4 linked regions of the Yarrowia lipolytica genome follow. The protein of the gene in region 1 purifies or fractionates together with the protein of each later gene. This does not show direct contact. Links are inferred from orthologs where the notes say so. Each region holds a gene or a part of one and is shown in the gene's direction. Other genes may lie near its edges.

Region 1 (3,309 bases):
TGCGGTTCGTAGAGGGAACCACTCGGACTCCAGTGATTCCACGTCTGTTGGAAGACACGGAAAAGGCGGATCGAATGTTGCTCAACAGGCCGGCCTTTGTGTCTCGCAGAGTCCAGTAGTTGAGAGCAGCCTCGTCCTTATCTCGAAGAGAGAGGCCAATGAGACGGCCCGAGGACAGAGACAGCACCAGCGTGACATCGTCCATGCGGTTCACGTGCTCAATCACCTCACCACTGTATAGCTTAATCTGGGTCTCCACCTGCTGTCGTGTTCGCAGGTACCCTTCAGCAGCTGCACCTCCCACTGACTCCCAGAAGACACACAAACCAGAATTGACACCCACTAGCACCAGACCGGGATGTCCAACGTCCTTGAAACTCGGCGTCACGGGGATCAGGTGACCCAGAGCATTATCCTGGACTCCCAGACTATGTGTAAAGGTCTCTGGGGTCGGCTCAGGAGATGTGTACTTCCACACATGTGCCTTGTTCCCCACAACCACCAGCCCAAAGTCGTCAGATAGCGATGAGCTCACATGCTCACCGGAATCAAAAGCAATCTCCACTCCTGATAGATCGGGTCTTGCTGCCAATCGCGTCACATTGTACATGGCCGTGCGGGTGATTTCGGAGCCATAATCCGCCAGACTGTCCTCCACAGCCGACAGGTTGGTGAACGACTTTTCCGTCACATCGTCGTTGAAGAGCGTCGCAGGCACAACTCGGTTGAGTTCTTGCTGCACCGCTTTTTGCCGCAGCTTTCGAATATTGCCAATTTGCGACATGGATGGATGTGTCTGTGTTTGTGTTTGGATCTTTTTGTGCAACTCTCAATTGCCTGCATTAGGGTTAGGGTCTACCAGGAGGTGGATTATGTTGTGGAATGATGGTTGTCGTAATTGCACAAAGAACCAACTACAATGGACTTTTAAACCCTTGATAGTGCCGTCACGGCGACTCCTGTTATTGTTTTGTGTCTTTGGACGCTCTATTGTCTCGTTCTTCTTGCAAATACTACCCTAAGTAAAATACCAACTAATACGAGGTTCACAACAAAGGATTAACAAAATTGACACAACCTACGGGCCAACTAATAGTCAAGTAGGCCCTCAACAACATTCTCGCTCTTTCTGAAACCAACAACATCAACTGGGAACCAGGAAAGTAAAGATATAGCTATATATCAGTTATTAACTCGTCAATTAATACGACCAGATTGGATTATACATTTTACTATCGTATGTGATTGTAACATCACCATCATTCTTAACAAAATCCTCAACCCTTTTCAATCAAGTTGGTGGTTGATAGAAACTAAAGCTGTAATAGATACTATACCCAACTCATACCTTCATCTCATATACATATGCTCGCTACAAATTATTTCTCCCAATCCTCTTGTTTGCCACTCACAATAGTGGCGATGATTAGTAAACTGATCTCAGTAGGTTTTCAATAGTAAGACACCCAAAAGTAGCCATTGACGTACGAAAAGTGTGCGTGTTTTTTTGAAAATTAGGTGTCACATGACCATAATAATCACTTTTCATATCACGTGACCAAATCATCTCGCACAGTCGTCCAAACACCTCCGTCTACTGACATTTCTACTACTCCATCTTATCAGGGTAAGGGCAACCGTAACTGTAAAAAATTTATGCAGGCGGTGAAATTTTCGCCTACGCAGACATTACACCGAACCACAGTTACAGGTACAGCAAGAAAATATGTTGCGACAAGTGAAACCGAAAAACGCTCGGGCCAAGCGAGCCGTCGATGCCAAGGAGCCCAAGATTGTCGAGAACACAAAGCAGGCGCTGTTTGTGCCCGGCCAGACCTCCAACCAGCTTCTTCACGATGCCATGGTGGATCTTTGTGCTCTCAAGCTGCCCGATGGCAAGCGATTCAACAAGAAGAACGAAATCAACCCCTTTGAGGATGTGTCCTCGTTGGAATTCTTCTCGGAAAAAAACGACACATCTCTGCTGGTCTTTTCGTCGTCTAACAAGAAGCGACCCAACAACCTGACCTGGATCCGAACGTTTGGATACCAGCTCTTCGACATGATCGAGCTGCAGATTGTCAACCACCGACTGTTACGAGATTTCAAGGCCCAGACTGTGGGTGTGGGTCTCAAGCCCATGTTTACCTTCAACGGTACCGGCTTTGAAACCGACCCTGTTCTGATGCATGTCAAGTCTCTGTTTCTGGACTTCTTCCGAGGCGATACCACCGATCTGCAGGATGCTGCCGGTCTGCAATATATCATTTCAATCTCTGCCGGCGAGGTGCAGGAAGACAAGCCTCTGCCTCTGATCAACTTCCGAGTTTACAAGATCCGATCTTTCCGATCTGGCCAGAAGCTTCCTCGAATCGAGCTGCAAGAAATCGGCCCCCGATTCGACTTCAAGATTGGCCGACGACAGGCTGCTGCTCCTGACGTGGAGAAGGAGGCTCTGCGAGTGCCTGAGCAGCTGCGACAGAAGACCAAGAAGAACGTGGAGGTGGACAACATGGGTGACAAGATTGGCCGAGTCCACGTGGGTAAGCAGGATCTGGGCAAGCTGCAGACCCGTAAGATGAAGGGTCTCAAGAAGAAGTACGACCAGGTCGAGGACGACGAGGAAGCCGATGACGAGGTGGTCACCACCAAGAAGGCCCGAGTGGAAGAGGAGGAGTATTTTAATGAGTAATTGATAGAATGCATTTTAATGATAACCGTTTGTGTAGCCACGTGAACAAACTCCAAATTTTTTCATCAAACAAAAGAGATTGCGTATTCCGTTCGATTCATCAAGGGTAGATATCTATTTAATTTTTAGTATTAGTATTATATTAGATTGTTTCGTATGTCACGATACCAGAAAACATTCTGAAACTGTCTTCCATGTGGTTTTTATCGAACTGATGTCAAAAGGAGAAAAAACGACCAGTAGAGTCGTCTTCCAACCAACCACGGCGTCAATAAAAAGTGATTTATAGATGGATATGTATCTTTTTAAATGAATTGAGATGTTCTCAGACAAGTATAAATACACGGCAAGTGCAGTATTACCTGAACATAATTACAAAAGATCAAGCGTCTACAACTACAAACTCTCTACGACTCAAATATTCGGGTGGGACTCTTTGGTCCATGATTTATTACCCAAGAGGTTCGGATTTTCACCTACTCCTCTCAAACTAGATAAACAGGTTCGGTCAGTTACGTCCTCCGGCTAAGAGGTTCACCGCCTACTCCTTGAATAGTGTATGACTTTGGCTCGTGCTCTGGCTCTCACTGCTCTTTGGACTTATTGGCAACTGGCTG
Region 2 (3,164 bases), on another chromosome or scaffold:
TTGGTTGGCCTGGACAACGGCAGCCTTCATCTGCTCCATGGTTCCGTACTGACTCTCATTCTGATGCTGGAGCTTGTCGATTTGAGACTGCAACACGGATGTGAGAGAAGAGGCTTGGTTGGACGAGATCGACAACTCGTGAATTTGGCCCTTGAGCGTCGCGTTTTCTTGCTCGTATACAGCACACTTTTGCGCCTTGCTCTTTAGCTGTTCGGACACGCCCTCCAACTCGCGCTCAAACGACTCGTACCGCTCCTCCATGTGGCTTCGGGACTCGTCATGGCGGCGATTGAGCTCTTCAATGGCCCGTTTATGCTGCTCCTCAAACTTGCCACGTAGTTGCGTTTCGTCGCGGCGAATGTTTTGGATCTGAGTGTCCATCTCGCGTTTCAACTCGTCTACTTTCTGTTGAGACTGTGCCTGGAGTGTCGACAACAGCTCAGTTTTTTCATCCATCTGTACACGGATCTGCTCTAGCAGGCGTTCCAGTTCCTCAACGCGTCGCTCCTTCTCCTCCAGCTTGTCCACAAGCTCCTTGACGTGGCTCTCCTTGTCCTCCTTCTCTCGATCCATATCCTTGACTGACGACTCCCACAAGGACATGAGATTGTCTGCGTTTTCACTCAGCTCCTTGATACGCGCCGAGCCCTCGTTGATCTCGTGTTGCTGGTGCTCATTCTCACGCCTCAAGCTGTCCACCTTCCTCCTCAGGGCCTCGTTTTCGTCCTCCAGCTTTTGCTTCTCAAAACACATTCGGTTCAAATCGTTCAACACCTGCATGTGCTTGTTGGCATTGTCCTGAAACTCTTGTCGCTTCTGCTCCAGCTCCTTGTCCTTCTCACCTAGCCGAACCCACATCTCCTTGACCATGGTGGAGGCATAAGAGTCGTCCTCTCCACTGCCCTTGGAACCCCCTCCCATCTTGTTGCGAATCTGAACCGGAGCCGTGTGGCTAGGCGTAGGCGGCACAGACGGGTTCATCGAAGGAGCCCCAATGCCAGTTCGGCGTCCGTACAGAGTGTCGTCTTTGTGTAACCTGGAAACGGGCACCGGCAGAGCTCCAGGAGCAGGTCGCTTGGAGCCTATAGGCACGTTCTCATTGTTGGCGACGCTGCGGGGTTTGTGTTCGCTGACCTTTGCCGACTTGGCCACAAACCGGGGGATGCCGGAATTCGCCCCCTTGTGAGGCTGTAACACATTGTCCATATTGTGTGTCATGTATCGTATCGTCCAGGGGAGCTTTAGATGTTTGGAATTCAATTAAGCGGTGATAGTGTATGTTTTGATATAAGCTTTCAGTGTTTTGAGGGCGGTTGTCCCGGCAACGCAGGAGGACTAGGTTGGGAGGAGTCGAACCTGACGCAGAGGAGTGATTGAAAAATGCTTGATAATGATGAAAATCCGGAGATGTTTTTATACCAACTGAATCTCGCCGACGAGAGGAGCAAGTAGGTATAATGATTTTTCTCTCCAGATGGGTATTTGACGTGCTGGATGTGTGTCGTCTTCGACAGTGCTTTCTTTTTACGGTGGGTGGCCCTCCAAAATCGGGTCACATAAATTACCCAAAACCCTAACTATATGTGTGTTTACATTACTTGGACTTTTCAAGTAAAATTCTTCAACAAAAGATGGCTGGTTTTGAGAGGGCTACAATGGTCGTAATTGCACCAATGTTTTGTTGCTGAGAGAGGCCGAAGCCAATATCACCGCAGATGCAAACACATGACCTTTTTTTCGCGATGATCTGCTTCTACCATCCATTTTTACATCACCGTCATAACCTGTGTTTGGCTTTCTGCCGTGCATATCTGAGGCACACCACCAAAAAAAATCCTGGGAGAGGAAAAGGTGAAATTCTAAACCGATATTTTTGCACGCACTCACAAGAAAAAACACAGCATGGGTCAAAAATCAGGAGCCAAGGGCAAAGTGACCATTAAGGTGGAGAAGCAGGACGCCGCTGCTGCCAAGCCGAAGCAGCAGAAGGTGTCGAAGCAGCAGAAGGCCGCTGAAGAGGAGTCGGAAGACGAGGATCTCGACGACCTGGAAGGCGGAGATGGAGAGGAGGATGAGGGGGTTGATTCGGAGGAGGAGGAGGAGTCCGAGGACGATTCGGAGGATGACTCGATGATGGAGGACGAGTTTGACATTGACGAGGACGAGTCTGAGGACGAGGAGATGGACGCTAGTGCACTACACAAGGCCAAGAAGGCAAAAAAGGATGAGGCGTTCGGCAAGGCCTTCTCTGCCATTTTGGGCTCGTCCATCAAGGCGCACGCCAAGGAGAACCCCATTCTGATTCGATCCACAAAGTCGGCCAAGGAGCTGGAAGACCAGAAGCTGGAGGCCAAGGCCCGACGGCTCATCAAGCTGGAGAAGCGAAAGGCCGCAGAGAAGGACCGAGTCAAGACGCTGGTGCCTCTCGACGAGCCCGAAAAGGCTAAGGAGATTCTCGCTAACGAAAAGAAATTGAAAAAGGTGGCCCAGAGAGGAGCCATTCGAATGTTCAACGCCATTCTGGCTGCCCAGACTGGAGCCAAGTCGATGGACGAAACCAGCATTCTGGGAGCCAAAAAGCGAGAAGAAATGGCCTCGCAGATGTCCAAGGAAAGCTTTTTGGACGCCGTCCGGGAGGGCTGAATGCCCCGATATAGATATAGTTAATGGGTTGGATTATTTCAATTGGAGGTGTAGGCGGCGACGGGAAGAGCGTAGATAGGTATGAGAGTAAAACCCATTGGGTAGCCGTTTAGATGGTACATGGCAAGAGAGACATTGAGAAGAGAGACATTGAGAAGAGGATATCACCAGGATGGGAGTGAAAGTGCAGTACCAACAGTGAATCAAGTTAGTGGCTGAAATCTGATGACGATGATTTAATCGACACTATCTTTGAACAGAACTCATGAGAGGAGGTCTACTATGTAAGTACAGTGTGTACAAGCAGTACAGCTTCTTATCCCATTCCATCTCCCTTGGTTAGTGGACCAGAACCCCCCAAACAGATATACCTCCTCTATGATACTAAAATGTCGCTACCATCTCTTCATCTCCTGTTTTGGGCGACTTCGGACGACTTGTCCTGATCTCAGCATCCCATCAATTCGTCAACTAAAGCCAAGTAATCCTGTTATATCACTCGGAGCAATCGTTCTCTTCCG
Region 3 (3,492 bases), on another chromosome or scaffold:
ATTCACCTGTCTTTGCTCTGTCTCTATGACAGCTAAATCAGGGTGATATGTGAGAATACTGGTACATACTGTACCTGGGCTACAATTATCTTACATCAACATCAATATTACTTGTACACATTCACCAATCCGTAAAATCAACGATTATGACTTTATAAGACCGTCTCTCTCCTTCCTGACACCCGCTTGAGTCTGTCCTTAGTCAAGACAAACATTAGTTGGACTTCTGTTAAGATAAATGACAACTAGCTGTTCAACATCAGTCCTTCAGTGATGGTGGAGAGATGGGAAGTTCGCCAAGTTGTAGTACTTGATGGTCATTTCAGTACGGAATACAAAAAAACTCCATAAAATCTGACATTTCCTCTGATATCCCAATTTTTGAAAATTTTCTTCCACTCGAAATACTTAGTGTTTAGTTGAAGGAAGCCGGCCCAGAGAGTCCGATCAGGATGTGAATAATGACGCCAACAACTTGAATTGCAGAAACGAGCTCATAGTCCTATTTCACAAGACTCTCGTCACTTCTCCTACACGATTTTTGTGGAAGATTGGACCATGATATCAGAACGACATCTGCAACTTACAGCTAGAGGATTCTGTTAAAGATCAGTGAGGACACACTGAAGTCGGAGACGGCAGGCAGTTTGTCAACACTTGGTGTTAGGATACACCACGGAGATAATGCTATGTACTGTACTTGTACTTGTACACAGAGATATATGGAGCAAGTTTTCTGGTACGAGTCGGTAGATCGACATGTTCATCAATATCAACGACGCTATAGTTCTATAGTACAATATGTACTTTTGACCCTTCCTACTCAGACTCAGAACCCTAGGATACTTGCAGTATTGTAGCTGACAGATGTTCTGTAGGGGCAATGATCTGTATATGCAGCTATTCCTGATTTGCAAGAGATATCCTCCTCCCTGTACTTGTATATTGTTCTTCACTTTTGTCATGTACTGGTTGTGAGCTAAGTTGCATTGCATGAAAAAATTGTACATGAAAAATACGGAAAAACAGGGGAAAAAATCAGAACATGGGCAACTAAGGTAAGGAGAGGTTTAGAAGAGCCCTTCTCTGCAATTTCAGACAATGTAAATGCATTGTATTTCTGTCATAATTCTAGGGATTGTTTTTAGCCACAATTCTCATAATTATATCTCTGTATCTCTGAGTATTTTTTCCCGTATTTTCCCTAATAATTGCTGCAAAATCGATATTAAATTGCCCCCATTCCAGAGCCAAAAGTTTATAGTGCCATACAACTGAGGGTGCTATCAAGAAGACTTAAACGCCAGCTGAATGATGTTTATCAAGCTGCAAGTCCTTTGGAACAGCAACCGTTCTGTTATTTTTATCCGGTTTTTCAAAATATATGCTGTTTCGGGCCCGTTTTCATTCTTGCTGATTTTCCATGAATTTTTCCTTATTAATATTGCGAAAATCTGTCGTAAATCGAACTCCCAACTGGACTACATAAATAATAACCTTAAATTCAACCCAAATTGGAGATCTATTCACACCCTCACTGAAACTTGCTGAATATTATCCAAAATTGCTAGTTATTTTTACAGTAGCTTCATCCTGTGGTCATAAAATATTCCTCTAACTTTCACCGTCTCAGCATAACTATTGCTCCTGTTTGAGTCACCCAACTAGTCAGTCCCCATTTTAGCTTTGATCACATGACACATCCCAATCGGTAAAAACAGTCACACGCTGGTCTCGAACTCTAAATTTTGCAGTAGATTTCCACCGGTCAAAAACTCTGCACACATCTTTCGTTCCTCACTATCTCAAAATGTCCCACCGAAAGTACGAACAGCCCCGACACGGTCACCTGGGTTTCCTCCCCCGAAAGCGATGCACCAAGTCTCGAGGAAAGGCCAAGTCTTTCCCCAAGGATGACAAGTCCAAGCCTGTTGCTCTGACCGCCTTCCTTGGTTACAAGGCCGGTATGACCACCATTGTCCGAGACCTCGACCGACGAGGCTCCAAGATGGACAAGCGAGAGATTGTCGAGGCTGCCACCGTCGTTGACACTCCCCCCATGGTTGTTGTCGGTGTTGTTGGTTACGTTGCCACTCCCCGAGGTCTTCGATCCCTGACCACCGTCTGGGCCGAGCACCTGTCCGAGGAGGTCCGACGACGATTCTACAAGAACTGGTACAAGTCCAAGAAGACTGCCTTCACCAAGTACGCTAAGCAGTACGAGGGTGACGCCGCCCAGGTCCAGAAGGAGCTCGAGCGAATCAAGAAGTACTGCACCGTTGTGCGAGTTCTTGCTCACACCCAGCCCAAGCTGACTCCTCTTAAGCAGAAGAAGGCTCACCTTGCTGAGATCCAGATCAACGGTGGCTCCGTTGCCGACAAGGTCGAGTGGGCCCAGCAGCACTTTGAGAAGACCGTCACCATCGACACTGTTTTCGAGCAGGACGAGATGATTGACGCCATTGCCATCACCAAGGGTAAGGGATACGAGGGTACCACCCACCGATGGGGAACCAAGAAGCTGCCCCGAAAGACCCACCGAGGTCTGCGAAAGGTCGCCTGTATTGGTGCCTGGCACCCTGCCAACGTCCAGTACACCGTGGCTCGATCCGGTCAGGACGGTTACCACCACCGAACCTCCGCCAACCACAAGGTTTACCGAGTTGGCAAGGGCGGTGACGAGTCCAACGGCTCCACCGAGTTCGACCGAACCCCCAAGACCATCACCCCCATGGGTGGTTTCGTCCGATACGGTGAGGTCAACAACGACTTCCTCATCCTCAAGGGTTCCATCCCCGGTGTCAAGAAGCGAGTCATCACTCTGCGAAAGTCCATGTGGCTGCACACCTCTCGACGAGACCTCGAGAAGACCCAGCTCAAGTGGATCGACACTGCCTCCAAGTTCGGAAAGGGCCGATTCCAGACCCCTGCCGAGAAGACTGCTTTCATGGGCACTCTCAAGAAGGACCTTTAAGCGGTTTCTCTTGTTGGAAATTTAAAAAATTAAAATGCACAATAGCAATAACCGAGTGTGTAGAGTACCTGCAACTGAGTGCAAAAGTACTTGTAGTACTTGTAGTCCTAGCGCTGTATACTGTAAGTAGATTGTCGTTTGACTAACTGTAAGATAGTTACTTTCCTTACACTAACTTGATTCGAAGACGCGTAGAGGGAGATCGATCATGACTATGAGCGAGCCCAACTGACAACATTCATATGAAGGGAAACAGTGAAGGCATAAGATGGAGCAACAATGCAGACGAGTATGGTTGCAGATTGCACTCTCGCAAATGCATGATACATGGTTGTACTTCTGTTTCTGGAACGAATTGCTTCCCATCATTGGCCTGGTGTGAGACAGGTGTGCCGACAGATGTGCCGACAGATGTGCCGTCAGATGATTTGAAGTGCTTACTGAGCAAGGTGAGATTGTCGCAGACTCTCCGCAGACAAGGAGACAGTACTAACAGGAACATTACAGGTTCATTCCAT
Region 4 (4,488 bases), on another chromosome or scaffold:
CCTGATGACGATGCCATTTTCCAGTCGCAAAAATAAGGTTCATCACTCCGTCTTAATTACACCCTCGAATTTCATCTCGGCCATGCATCCCATAGTGCCTCAACCTGGCTCTGTGGCGGACAGTCAACGCAACACAAATATGGTGAAGCCGCGCTCCAAGGTGGAAAAGCCCTCCAGCAAGAAAAAAACGTCCGGCAAGGATAAATCCAAATCCGAGGAGGTGATGAAGGTGGAGCAACATGAGGGAGATGAGACGGAAGAACAGGTTGAAGAGAAGGAGAAATCCGAGGAGGTGGAGAAGTCTCCACAAGTGAACGTCAAAGAAGAAGACACTCCACAGGAAGCTCTCAACTCACCCGAGGTGTCTCAATCTTCGGAACTGGCCGAAAACACAGACTACATTGCTCTGACTTCTGCGCTGTCCATGCTTACGAGACAGCAAGAGACGAGCAAAAGAGACTTGGTCAAACTGTCGCAAATGAGACAGCAGGCGGTGGAGCAACCCGAGCAGTTTTTGGAAAAGGTCAAGAGCGGACAAGTGTCTTTCCCCAAGGCTCTCTATGTCACCATGGTTCCTTCAATCGACTGGAACCAGTACGACTTTGATAACCGAGAGTTGGACGCTGTTATCGGGCGTCAGAGAAAGGAGTCAGAAAAGGGTGTTGTTGAAGAGGTTCCGTTGTTTAACCAGTAGTGGACTGTACACCAAGAGGCTACAGTACTCATCAAACAACAATTTATGACACAGTACCTCCAGTGTCTTGGTATTTATAGGTAAAATGTATTATTATTGTATTATTATTGTAGCACTACTACCGTACAAGAATTACATTCCGTATTGTATGCAATCTATTATCTAGTTAGGTCACTCCACAGTGGCGTTGGAAAAGTCCACGTTATAGGTGGGATCATCCTTTCGAGAAATCTTTCGGTACTCGTCAATAACCTTTTGTCGCTCGGCCTCGAGAATGAGACGCCGGGCGTTGTCTCCGGAAGCCTTGGGGACGTTAGGAAGCAGCTTTCGAGGCAGATTCAGCACAGGGGGAGCGTCAGCCACCTCTCCAAACTTGGCCTTCTTGTTCTTCTTTTCTAGCACGGCCCAAGGATCGGGCGACTTATCTCTCTGCTTCTTGGGGAAGAACAGGTCGTTCTTGAGCCGTTTCTCATCCATCCCGTCTCCCTCCTCTGCAGCCTCATCGGCCTTCTTGTAGTCCATCTCGTTCTGCAGAACCCGGTTCTTCTGCTTCTGAATGTTCTTCTTGTCAAGCCGTGTGAGCTCCTTGGCGTTTTCCGACTTGCGGGGCTTCGCATTGGGCAGCGCTTCGTCAACTCTTCGAGAGAAGTCCGCCCACGACTCACCGGGTTTCATTTGCAGCTCGGAGTTCTCATGCGAAATGTGTTTGTTGGTAGGGTACAGTTCCTTCTTTTGCTTCTTTCGGCCCCTCTCCTCCTCCTGGCTCTGGGCAGTTCGCTCCTGGCGGGCCATCATTCGCTTGAAGCTCTTGGGGGTATCGTCATCGTGACTGTCGTTGTAGTTGTCCTTGGCGAACTTCCCCTTCTTCTTGGTGAACTTGCTCTTCTTTCGGTTAGAGAAGTCCTCGGGGTCCTGGTCCAGCGGTACCACCTCTCGTTTGAGCACGTTTCTCGGTCGTTTTCGGGGCATTTGTGTATGGTGATGAGTATATCTGAAGTATCTTGGAACTACAGTGATGCTGGAATAAACTTGCACTGCATGAAATTATTTTTCTGACGACAAACCTTATTCAAGAAATTTACAGACATGCTGCTACGAGGATATTGGTGATATAACAACGCCATACACAGACACACAAACACACAATGGTGAAACGATCGCGAGACGTGGCCAAGTTTGAAAAGCGGGCCAAGGCTCGGCAGGAGCAGGACAGCAAGCTTGCGCAATCATGGCAGTACATCAAAGACTCTGACAACGAGGAGGATGAGGACTATGGACCTCGATCTTTCAAGGAGGAAGAATCTCTCGGTGAAATGCTGCCTGTGCGAGGCGAAGACGGCCAGATCAAGCGGGTGATGCGCAAGAAGGGCGACAAAATCAGCAAGCGAAAGCTGGAGGAGCAAGCTGAGAGACAGCGACAGGAGGAAGAGGAGGAGGCAGCTCGAGAGGCAGCAGAGGCAGCAGCAGCAGAACAGGCAGCCAAGGAGGCCGCCGAGAAGGAAGAGGAGGACGACATTGGCGATTCTGATTTCGAGGAGGAAGACGAGGTCACTGGAGAGGCCCGATTTCGAAAGGCCCAGGCCGAGATTGCAGAACTGGCCGACCAGCTCAACGAGGACGCCGAGGAGAACATTCACTGTCTGCGCAAGATTCGGGAGCTCATGGGTCGAAAGCAGTCATTCCGGGTGGTACAACTGACGATTCTGTCGCTGGTTCCTATTTTCCAGTCGATCATTCCTGGTTACAAAATCAGACCCTTAACCGAGGCCGAAAAGCGAGAAAAGGTGTCTAAGGAGGTCAAGAGACTACGAAACTTCGAGACGTCGCTGCTGCAGAACTACAAGGCGTATCTAGACTACATTAGCAAGTTTTCCAAGAAGGCCCGAGGCTCCACTGAAGGCACCATGAAACGAATTTTGGGAGACTCGTGCGTGGTGGCAGCCTGCGAACTTCTCAAGACGTCTGCGTACTTCAACTTCAGATCTGACCTCGTGGCGATTGTGGTGAACCGTGTGGGACAGAAGCCCTACGACGCCAACTACTTCAAGGCGTTGTCCACCATCGAGTCTCTGTTTGAGGACGACTTCGAGGGTTCTGCTGTGAAGGAGATTGTCATGTCCTTGTCCAAGATGATCCGTGCAAAGAAGTATAGAATTGACGAGTCGTTGCTCAACTCACTGCTTAAACTGCGGTTGCTGACAGAGCTCGACGCCAGAGCTTCCCAGAGACACGTGGAGTCTCAACAAGCACCGACAGCCAAGGTGCGAAAGAAGGACCGAGTGCACCTGACCAAGAAGCAGCGAAAAACGCTCAAGGAGAAGAAGGAGATCGACGAGGAGATGCTAAAGGCAGAGATGGCGGTATCGACCGAGGAGCGAGAGAAGATCCAGGGAGAGACGCTCAAAATCGTCTTTGTTCTGTACTTTAACATTCTCAAGGAACGACCACAGCATCTCATGGCAGCCACTCTGGAGGGTCTGGCCAAATTTTCGCATCTCATCAACGCCGACTTCTTTGGCGATCTGCTGGAGGTGCTACGGGAGCTCATCACCGAGCGTCAAATCCGATACACCGACGACGGAAAGCAAGAGTTCTTGGAAACCTCTACCCGAGAGGCTCTTCTGTGTATTGTCACTGCATTCGTGCTGCTTGGAGGCCAGGTGGGCGAGTCCATGAACCTCGATCTGACCTTCTTCATCAACCACTTCTACTCGTCACTCTACGCTCTGGGTCTCAACCCCGACATTGAGCTGTCACACAAGTCTCTTCGTCTTGATGATCCCAACACCAACGAGTCCGCCAGCAATAAGCGGTCCAAAATCAACGTGGCCACAGAGATGGAGATGGTGGTGAGGTCGTTCGAGGGTATTTTCTTGCAGCAGAAGCACGTGTCTCGGCTGCGAGTCCAGGCTTTTGCGAAGAGACTGGCTACCATCTGTCTCCAGCTACCCGAAAAGTCGTGCATGGCCGGTCTCAAGATTCTCGACCGGCTCAATAAGAAGTTCACCGTTATGACCGCTCTGTACTCGTCCGACGACCGAATCACCAACGGAGTGTACCGAATGGACGTGGACCAACCCGACCATGCCAACCCCGAAGCATCTACCATCTGGGAGACAGTGTTGCTGGAGAAACACTTCTCGCCAGACATTGCCAAGGCCGCCAAACTGGTGCCCCGAAACGTCAAGAAGAACAAGCATTAGAGAGGATTATAGAAATGTATATTTGGACAACAGGAATAGCTAGTGAGTGACTGAGTGTAAACAGTGTGTTATAGATGAGTAAATCTACCATACGATTCATCTGAATGTATAGGCAAAGCTCTATAGGAGCTACAGTTACTCAGCAACTGCACCTGCGTTTGATTATGCCGTATCTGACAATGACGCAATCAATAGTATCCATTATGGAAAATGAGGATCCAGTAACTATGTATTCATTCAGACATAACACAACATACGATAAGACGTGGAAAGGGGTCATAGAGAGAGACCCCCACCTTTCCGATGGACATAGTCTATGGGAAATGCAGGTCAGGATGCTTTCAGATGTTTTGAGAACTCTCAAACAACTGTAGTGAGTACACAGGAATGAAAGTAGTTGTAATATCTTCTGTACTGTGGTAGCTGAGTTCAGAGCTCTCTCTTGACATTAGTAGGTTCGTATAACAAACGTCGGTCGATCTGCGTCAGTACCTCGATTATGCTATTCAAATGCAGAACACCTCCGTTGATATCACCACGACCCATGCTCTACATTGTCTTGTATCAGATACGTTTTATACTTCTGCTGTT

Evidence for each region.
Region 2: the proteins of YALI1_A04119g (region 1) and YALI1_C17995g purify together in Saccharomyces cerevisiae (affinity purification with mass spectrometry; 3 studies listed by BioGRID). This does not show direct contact. The link is inferred for Yarrowia lipolytica from reciprocal best matches to the Saccharomyces cerevisiae genes RPF2 and RRP15.
Region 3: the proteins of YALI1_A04119g (region 1) and YALI1_C29810g purify together in Saccharomyces cerevisiae (affinity purification with western blotting; 3 studies listed by BioGRID, with this or other methods). This does not show direct contact. The link is inferred for Yarrowia lipolytica from reciprocal best matches to the Saccharomyces cerevisiae genes RPF2 and RPL3.
Region 4: the proteins of YALI1_A04119g (region 1) and YALI1_D13126g purify together in Saccharomyces cerevisiae (affinity purification with mass spectrometry, with the first as the bait; 3 studies listed by BioGRID). This does not show direct contact. The link is inferred for Yarrowia lipolytica from reciprocal best matches to the Saccharomyces cerevisiae genes RPF2 and NOC3.

The regions. Positions count from the first base shown.
Region 1 is NC_090770.1:410,198-413,506, forward strand, and holds YALI1_A04119g (uncharacterized protein), read left to right. Parts: upstream 1-1,726; coding exon 1,727-2,692; downstream 2,693-3,309. Other genes in the region: YALI1_A04109g (uncharacterized protein), read right to left, coding at 1-784. UniProt on the Saccharomyces cerevisiae protein: Required for biogenesis of the 60S ribosomal subunit.
Region 2 is NC_090772.1:1,797,627-1,800,790, forward strand, and holds YALI1_C17995g (uncharacterized protein), read left to right. Parts: upstream 1-1,902; coding exon 1,903-2,643; downstream 2,644-3,164. Other genes in the region: YALI1_C17988g (uncharacterized protein), read right to left, coding at 1-1,218. UniProt on the Saccharomyces cerevisiae protein: Constituent of pre-60S ribosomal particles. Required for large subunit rRNA maturation, in particular processing of the 27S pre-rRNA at the A3 and B1 sites to yield 5.8S and 25S rRNA.
Region 3 is NC_090772.1:2,979,261-2,982,752, forward strand, and holds YALI1_C29810g (60S ribosomal protein uL3), read left to right. Parts: upstream 1-1,810; coding exon 1,811-2,974; downstream 2,975-3,492. UniProt on the Saccharomyces cerevisiae protein: Component of the ribosome, a large ribonucleoprotein complex responsible for the synthesis of proteins in the cell.
Region 4 is NC_090773.1:1,310,805-1,315,292, forward strand, and holds YALI1_D13126g (uncharacterized protein), read left to right. Parts: upstream 1-1,839; coding exon 1,840-3,897; downstream 3,898-4,488. Other genes in the region: YALI1_D13108g (uncharacterized protein), read left to right, coding at 5-694; YALI1_D13124g (uncharacterized protein), read right to left, coding at 866-1,663. UniProt on the Saccharomyces cerevisiae protein: Required for synthesis of 60S ribosomal subunits and the transport of pre-ribosomes from the nucleoplasm to the cytoplasm. Also required for initiation of DNA replication.